Linked DNA regions of Mus musculus. The protein of the gene in region 2 purifies or fractionates together with the protein of the main gene of each other region. This does not show direct contact. Links are inferred from orthologs where the notes say so. Each region holds a gene or a part of one and is shown on either strand. Other genes may lie near its edges. The genes, in order: Rnf185 and Tmub2.

What was found.
Region 1: the proteins of Tmub2 (region 2) and Rnf185 purify together in Homo sapiens (affinity purification with western blotting; 3 studies listed by BioGRID and IntAct, with this or other methods). This does not show direct contact. The link is inferred for Mus musculus from reciprocal best matches to the Homo sapiens genes TMUB2 and RNF185.

What each region holds. Positions count from the first base shown.
Region 1 is NC_000077.6:3,449,851-3,454,179, forward strand, and holds the start of Rnf185 (E3 ubiquitin-protein ligase RNF185), read right to left. Parts: upstream 3,107-4,329; 5' UTR 2,359-3,106; intron 1-2,358. UniProt on the Homo sapiens protein: E3 ubiquitin-protein ligase that regulates selective mitochondrial autophagy by mediating 'Lys-63'-linked polyubiquitination of BNIP1.
Region 2 is NC_000077.6:102,283,646-102,287,901, reverse strand, and holds the start of Tmub2 (transmembrane and ubiquitin-like domain-containing protein 2), read right to left. Parts: upstream 2,952-4,256; 5' UTR 2,814-2,951; exon of another isoform or gene 2,239-2,813; 5' UTR 2,219-2,238; coding exon 2,184-2,218; intron 595-2,183; coding exon 31-594; intron 1-30.

The DNA.
Region 1 (4,329 bases), about 99 Mb from region 2:
GGGTAACGGCCAGTAGCTTTTCCTAAACTTATTTTTACCATCAAATTTATTTTTCACAGGCCAGCAGAACACATTTACATCAATCAAGTATCCCTTTAAAAGAAACCCCCAAATTAGTAAGTTTTTAAAAATCCAACAAATTAAGAGCATTTTCCTTACCACCGAGATGACAATAGAGTCTAAGGCCAAACCATCTCGAATGTTAGGTAACAACTGAATGACCATTTCACAACTGTTTTTTTTTTTTAATCTTGAGAAACATAAACAACAGGAAAACAGGCAGGAACTTTTGGTTCAACCCCAACCTTTTGTTTTGTGGAGGAAGTGTCAGCAGAATTGGGTCATAATATGGAATCTTTGCTTCTCCAGACAACATAAGCATTCTTAAGTACTCTAATGGGAGATGGAAAAGTTATCTACTTAGTGTCTGGTAAAGTGCAAAATAAGGAAATCTAAAGTTAGATTACAAAGCTATAGGTATGCAAGTCAGGACCATAAAAGAATTGGTCATATGTGCTGGGCATCCAGAAAGCTAGCTTAAAAACTGCAGACACTCTCACACCTATACACACACTGCTAGACAAAGAATTAAAGTTCAGTTTATAAACCAGAGAGAAGACTGACCCAAACAACTGAATTGGCCTTCCATTCTGTAATCAGAGCCCACTGGCAAGCAAAGCCTTGGGCAAAACAAGCAATCCCAGCATTTGGGAGGCTAAGGCAGGGGGACCAGTTTGAAGTCACCCTGGGCTACATAATAATACTCTGGAAAAGGAAGAGAGGGATGGAGGCAGAGAGGAAGAGAGCAGAGATAGACAGAGAAAAAGACAGAGAGACACAGATAAGACAGACAGAGACTGACTTTCTAAATTGTTCTCAGCCTGAGCTGAATGTCAGAGTGAGACCCCGACTTAAAATAAATTTTAAAAACTTAAATGTAAAACAAAAATTACTAACTGACCAATGTATTAATTTTAGTTAATTAATTTTTATTTCCTGTTTATTAATACAACATATACTTTGGATAATTTTTATCAGATAATGGATCATTCCAAAAAGGATGATGAAAAGAAGGATGACAAATGTGACAACCAGTAAAAGATTACATAAGATCAAGTGTGCTGGCCTTATTGATAGGAGATATAAACTAGGGAGGAGAGTCCAGAAGGGAAGACAAAGAAATGTCACATTCTGTAGGCATAATGGTACTAAGTAACGAGTGATCCTGGCACTCTTTAAGACTGAAACAGCAGGATCCGGGTTCAAGGCCAACTACAAAAGGAGCTTGAGGACAGCCTGAGATCCCTGAGACCCTGTCTCAGACCACAAAAGAAGTATCACATACACTCTGAAGACAGAGTTATCAGTGGAGAGGTAAGAGTCACAATAAATACTAATACGAGCCTTTTAAATTGGAAAGGGCCGCCTCCTGTATACTTCCTTTCCCAAGGAGACAGTCAATCCCCATCAGTCGTCACCTCTGATAATTCTTCCGTTAAATTCTTAATAGTAAGTACACATGTGTCTTCCCCCTAGAACCTACCTATTAATCGTAGCTGTACCTCTTTCAGCTACAAAGATCAAGCAGGAGGCCTCTTTGCCATAACTCCCCCACCCAACCCCCACCCCCACCCCGCGCCAGCTTTTAAAGATAGTTAGTTATTCTCCTCCGGCGTTCTTTCCTAAGCTAGAAGTTTCATAGAATCGAGCCGGCTCCAGCTGCCTCGAATCGAGTACCGCATTCACAGCGGGACCGCACTTCGGATGAGCAGGCTTCAAACACGAGTAGGACTCCAGAGGAGAACGTTCAAAATAAGGTTTCCTAGGATCCAGACCCAGATTCGAAACAAGCTGTGGGAAAAGCCCAGGGCTGGAGAGCCGGCATCCCGGAGGGTTTCGGAGCAGGTGCTGTGGAGGCCCACGCTTTTGAGACAGCTGTGCCCGGTTGTACAGCTGTGGGAACTAGGTTCAGGGAGGTCAAAGACTTGGCCTCGAACGCACAGTGAGCTGCAGGCAGCGAACTCAAGTCCAGGTCTCCTACGCTTCACCCCAAATCTGTTCACCGCATTCCTCATCTTTCCACTCCACCAAATCGCCACCCACGAGAGAGGCGGTCCCGCCCCCGAGGCTACGGGAGTCAGGACGAGCCCCGTCTGGAAGGGGAGCTTGTGCGCACCCTTCTTTCCCTTTTCTGGGGCCTTAGTTTGCCCAATCTGTACCCACGGATGCCAGTCTGACCTTCCTTCTGGGACCTGGACAGAGCCAGACTGGATGACTCCTGGCCCTTGGCTTCAGATCCCTGAGCCTGGGAAGGGGGTCCCATGCCTCCCGGGCCCGCCGTCCCAGCTCGTCACCTACCTGCCGCCGCGGTAGAGCGAGCGCCAGCGACGCCAGCTGTCCGTTCCCCCGTCCCGGAGTAGCCGAGCCAGTCTTAGAGACGCGTCAGTCAGAAAGATTGAACCTCCGACCCCTCCTACCGGGAACTTGGTCACCTGACGCGGAGCCGCCTCTAGTAGAACAACTTCCGGTTCCAGCCGGAAAAGGCTGGTGTGCAGCGCTGCTCTCCGGCCCAGGCGCCCGGCTGGTAAGTTCCGCCCCGGGACAGGAAGGGGAGGGCGTCTGGTCTTTCCGTAGGGTTTCCTAGCGCTGGAAGAGGAGGGAAGGCAGCTCGGTGGATGGGCGAGCTCGCCTCGCCCGCGTGAAGACGTGGGAATAAATATGTGCGTACCCGCCAGCTAATCATAGCATTCATTCGGGTGATGGGTCAGAACTTCAATGTCGTTTTCGAAGCAGGCTTGGGATACATGGGACCGTGTCGCAAAAATAATGGGCGGATGAAAAAGCCAGTTCTAGAAATACCAGTTTGGAATGCCTTGTACAAGAAAGTAAGGTCAGTGGTTGTTCTGTTTTATAAAGAAGAAGAACAGGAGGAGGAGGCATGGGAAGTGGAGTAGGAAAGGGAGTAGAGAATGAGGAGAAGGGAGAGAGGCCGGCCAGGAACGCGTGAAGAGAGAGGGCGGAGGGGGAAGGGGGCAAAGAGTAAGGGAGAGGAGGGGGCGAACAGCCCCTTTTATAGTAAGCCGGGCATACCTCGCTGTTGCCAGGTAACTGTGGGGCGGAGCCTAGAAGGAATGCTAACAGTGGTGATGGATGAGAATGTGCAAAACGACCCAGGAGCTCTCTTGAAGACTCTACTAGCCAAATCTGTGAAATTTCAGTATCAAAATAATAAAGGTAATAAGAGTATAACTAATTGGAGCCCATGAGATGGTTCAGAGGTAAAGATGTTTGCTGCCAAGCCTGTCAACTCTAGTTCAGTCCCCAGAAACCCAGCGGTGGAAGGAAAGGAGTCTGGCAAGTTGTCATCAGACCTTCACATGTATACAGAGACACTTAATAAATACATGGTAATTTATTTTAAAACTAATTAGATGAACTTGTAACCAATGAGGGATTGTTTTTTTTTTACAGTAGCAAGTGCATTTATTATATTTAAAAATAACTAGAAAAATTGGTGTTTTAGCTTTCCATATATAAAAACATGTGAGTCCAGTGCAACAGTGCTCAGTGCAGGTGAGTGATTTTGCTGTGCAGCTCCTACAAAGCTGCATAGCTGTGCTGTTGCAGGGGTGGGGGGAGTGGGGGGTGGAGAGCCGGCACACCTCATTCTGTAGAACAAGAAGGGACTTCCGTCCTGCCTCGGACAAGCAGTAGCAGTAGCATTCCTGTGTGTAAGCTGAGGTAGGGCTGGCACACCGGCCTTGTATCCTGTACTGGATGGCTTTCAGCTTCTGCTTGCCAGTGTGAAAGCCCAAACGCCAGATGGCAGGTGAGCCTGCATCCTCTCCCCAGAGTCCTTGACCTTATCAATCTCTAGCTCCACCTGTGGGGGACCTGAGGGATCGGTCAGAATACTCCTCCTCCTTCTGTTCCTGGAAAAAGTAAGATTCTTTGGGGGGTTCTTAGTATCATTAATACAAGAATTTAGAAGAGACTCAAAGGAAGCTCAGGACAACTTTATTAGAGTTTGAAAAAAGCAATCAAGGCTAGTTGAAAACTCTAACAGCTGCCAGAAGATGGAGAAAAGGTCACACCTTTTAAACTAGGCATGGAATAAAATTAGACAACTTATCAAGAAATGGAAAAGGACAGGTGGTATTGGCGGTGCACACCTTTGATCCCAGCACTTGGGAGGCAGAGGCAGGCAGATCTTTGTGAGTTCCAGGACAGCCTGATCTTCAAAGCAAGTTCAGGACAGCCAGGGCTACACAGAGAAACCCAGCTCAAAAAAACAAAAACAAAAAACAGAGAGTAGGAGGAAGGGAGGGA
Region 2 (4,256 bases):
GAGCAACTGGCCTCTCTCCGGCCTACTCACCTTTTTAGGGTACCCACAGTGTCCTCTGGCCTGGCCACAGCTAGCTCCTCGGTGTCATTGAGGAACTTGAGGCGAACATTGATGAGGCTGGGGCTGGGAGAGAGGCAGGAGCCATCATCTAACCCCAGCGGGGCTTCTGGGCGACTGCTCCCCAGGCCTGCTTGCCTTTTAGGCAGGCCTTGGATGTCCAGGAGATGCTCCAGGCTGGGCTCCATCTCTCCCCTAGCTCCAGGTTCTCCAGTGGCGTCTCCCCCACTGTCACTGGTCTCTTCAGCCTTGTCATCATTGCCCCCTGATGGATGGGGGTGTTCGGTTGGCTCTGGAGTGCCTTGGTTTACCAGCTGGTCCACATGGCCCAGGTGGAGAACAGACGTGTCACCTGCTGACACAATGGTGCCCAGCAGCTGGTTGTTACCACTGTCTGCTACATAGGTGGAGAGCCAGGCTAGGACCAGGGCTAGAGTCAGCGCCACCACGCCTGCTACCACCATCACCTCGTTACCCACACCCTCAATGAGGGTGACATCAGAGAGCTCCATGGCCTGGCTGCTGACTGGGTCCACGCTGCAGGAACAAAGGGGGATAGCATTAGGAGGGCCTGAGGGCTTATAGTCAGGTTTCTACTTTGTTTAGGTTCTGAGGCAGGCTGGGGTTAAAAAAAAAAGAAAAAAAAAAAAAAGGAAAAAAGGATGGGGGCTTGGTGTTGTGTAGGAAGGGCAGCCAGCCAATTTCCTAACAGTAGTAGACCCTCAATCTCAAGCTAAGGACTGACTTACCCTTGGCCCCTCTGCCTTTACCGTGAAACTCTAGCTTTCAGATTCTGTGCTCATAAGAAGCATGGGTCACCAGAAAAGCCTCATAACCTTGTTACCAGCTGCTGATTGCTCACTTGTTTGTTTTTGTATTTGGAGAATAATGGAGAAGGAACATTTGCTGCTTCTCTTCAAGACAGGGTTTCTCTGTGTAGCCCTAGCTGTCTTGGAACTACCGCTCTATAGACCAGGCTGGCTTCAAAATCACTTGCCCCTATCGGAGTATTGGGCCTAAAGGCCACCACTGCCCGGCTTACATTTTGCTTCTTTAAGCTTGGAGTTTCTCTAGGATTCCTAACACATGACCAAGCACATCTGCATGCACCCAGCAGCCTCAGTGGTAGCTTCAGATTAGAAAGACTCTTTAATGGGCATTGTGCGGCCACCCTTGCCAGATTTCCTTTGGATTACATCTCATTCATGGCCACACACCCATTCATGCCCACACACCCATTCATGCCCAGATGTCAAGAGCCAAATACATAAATATACTCTGATCTATCAAGGATAGGATCAGATCACTTCAAATGGACAAATGTACTGGGACTATCAGCAGACATGTTTGTCTATTAAACTGTTCTGGCAAATTCTGGGGAGCCACATAGGACAGTCACCAGAAACACTACACGCTTTAGTCTCCATAGGCTTGGCTTTATAACTGCAAAACCGCTGTTCTACATGCCCTGGTTATCCCAGAACTTGGGAAATAAAGGAACTAAGGATACAAGGTTCAAGACAAGTCTCCACTACTTAGCAAGTTCAAGGCTGCCTAAGGCTACACGAGACAGCTTCAAGAAAACCATTGCCCAAGTAGAAATTATTTGGAAATACTTCCCAACGGTTCCCACTATCCTTCTTTCAATCTGTCTTGTGCTATGAAGGTTTTCCCTCTCTGCGGCTTCTGAGAAAGCATTGGAGGCTCTCTGCATATTCCTCGGAGTACCGTCTCTTTTCCTTGGAGAATCTACGTTCACAGCTGTCTCTGGGCAAATCCATCTGGTGATTATCATCATCAGACTACTCTCACAGCACCCACAAAACATCATTACACTCATAACCTGTCCATTTCTTCATTGACTCCTGGAAGATAAGAACCGAGGGTAGTTCTCTTTGTTTGAAGCTCTTAATGCAATGTCACAGTAGCTGCTCAAGGAATATTTGTAGAACACACCAACACTCTCAGAAGCGTTTCCACAGCCTTATTTACACAGATTGGCCCTGGAGTCAGGGAAGCGATTCTGGGTCACTGTCTAGCCCCTCTTCTAGCTATGCAATGTCCAGCAACGTTCTCAAAGCCTCAGCTTTCTCAACAGTAAAGTGGGGTTTAAAATGGTTACCTACCTCATAAGGTTGTTTTGAAGAAGACGTGAAATCATCGAAGCAAAAATAATTAACACTGTTCAATAAACAAATGATAGCAATTACGTCTCACTCCCATAACTAACCCCTGTTGGTCAGGTTAGTGTCAGGAACCGTGATGTACACAAAAGGAAACTGTGGCAAAGACAGATGGAAGCGGAGGACACAAGGAACTGCCGCGGGCAGGGGCCAGATAGGGGACCTGCATCTGTCTGACCAAGGCCTCGGCTTTCTCCTCAGCCTGTGGACGATCCTGACCGCACTGTGGGGAGTCGTCCCCGACCGTGCTTTTTTCTGGGGTGAAGGTTCTGCGTCTGAAAGGTCCTATTCCCTTGGCAGTGGAGTCCATCAGCACCCCCCACCCCACCCCCGAGCCGAGGAGCTTCCGGGTTTCGGTCGCAGTGCCCAAGCCCGACTCTCCGGGACAGTGATGGTTTAGGGTCAGGTGAAGAAGCGAGGGTCGGGAGGTAGGGGGGTCACAAACCATCCACACCCCTCAAACTTCGGGGCGGGGCAGAGGAGAGGGGGCGGAGCTTGAGGACGCGAGGAGTCATGGGAGATTAAAGGGGGTTTGGATGGTTACTGTGCCTCGATGGGGAAGGAAAGCCTCACCTGACAAAGCCAGGATAAATGTTTTGACTTCGCCAGGACAGTCTTTGTAGTTCTCTTTCCGTAGGGGTCAGGGGAGGGGCTGGCAACTCAGGATTCTGTCCAGGGTCCGATCTCTTCCGGCTTTTCTCGGAAGCTGTTAACATCCAGGACAGGAAGTCCCGCCTCCCCGCCTTGTACTGATGACGCAAAGCTACGTAAGGCGGACTGACGTAAACGTAATCTTTAAATAAAAGGGCCAGGTTGCGCCGCGGCAGAAGGGGAGGAGTCATTGTTGGCGGGATTTCGGACCTCCGGCAGTAAGACCACGCCCATTAGGCGTGGCCTCGGACCTCCTGGAGGTCGGAGGCGGGGCCAAAAGAGAAGAGGCGGGGGAAGGTGTTTGTGGGGGGCGTGGTTTCATGCTTAGACGATTGCCCTGGCAAGCTCTCCTGGTCCACCCGCCGCTAGGTTTCCTTCTTTCCCGCCTGGTTTTTCCTTCCGGTTTGGTTCTCTAGCTCCAGAGCTAATGAGATTCATTACTGCTTCGCCAATGCACACCAGGCTCCAAGGTTGGGAGCGGTAAAGTCTGCTATTTTTGACTTCTAAGACAGTTGTTCCTCGAGGAGATGGGCAAGAATACAAATTAAAGTCTTAAGTACTTGAAGATTTCTACCTCGTATAGCTTTAATAAATGAAGCGGGAAGGCATTTTAAAGAGATACAAATACAGTGCCCTCAGCCGGGCAGTGGTGGCACACGCATTTAATCCCAGCACTTGGGAGGCAGAGGCAGGCTGATTTCTGAGTTCGAGGCCAGCCGGGTCTACAAGTAGTGAGTTCCAGGACAGCCAGGGCTATACAGAGAAACCCTGTCTCGAAAAACAAACAAACAAACAAAAAACAAATAGAGTGCCTTCTTAAGAAAGGATTTTTTTTCTTTTACTTGTTTCTATGTGTATGCCGCGTGTGTGGGTACTTGCAGAGCCCAGAAGAGGGCATTGGATCTCCATGAGCTAGGGTTACAAGAGGTTGTAAATCGCCAGTCTTGAGTGCTGGGGAGAGAACTCAGGTCTTCTGGCAAGAAGAACAAGTGCTCTTAACCATTGAACCATCTCTCCAAGTCTATCACCCTGGATTAGTTTTTCCTTTTTTTTTTTTTTTTTTTGGTTTTGTTTGATTGTTGATTCACTATGTAGAAGAGCAAGCAGCCTTTCTCAACCTTTGAGTCTAACGACTCATTCAGAGGTCGCATATCGGATTTTATATTAGTATTCATAAGAGTAGCAAAATTACAGTTGTGAAGTAGCACCAAAAATAACTTTACAGAGAACCAGTGTAGTGGATGATCTTTCCCATCTGGGCACCACCATGAGATTAACCCAGTGTTTTGATGGTCTTGGTCACTTTAAGAAATGTATTACATTTTATTTATTGATTGAGTATATGTAGATGTGTGCACTACAGCC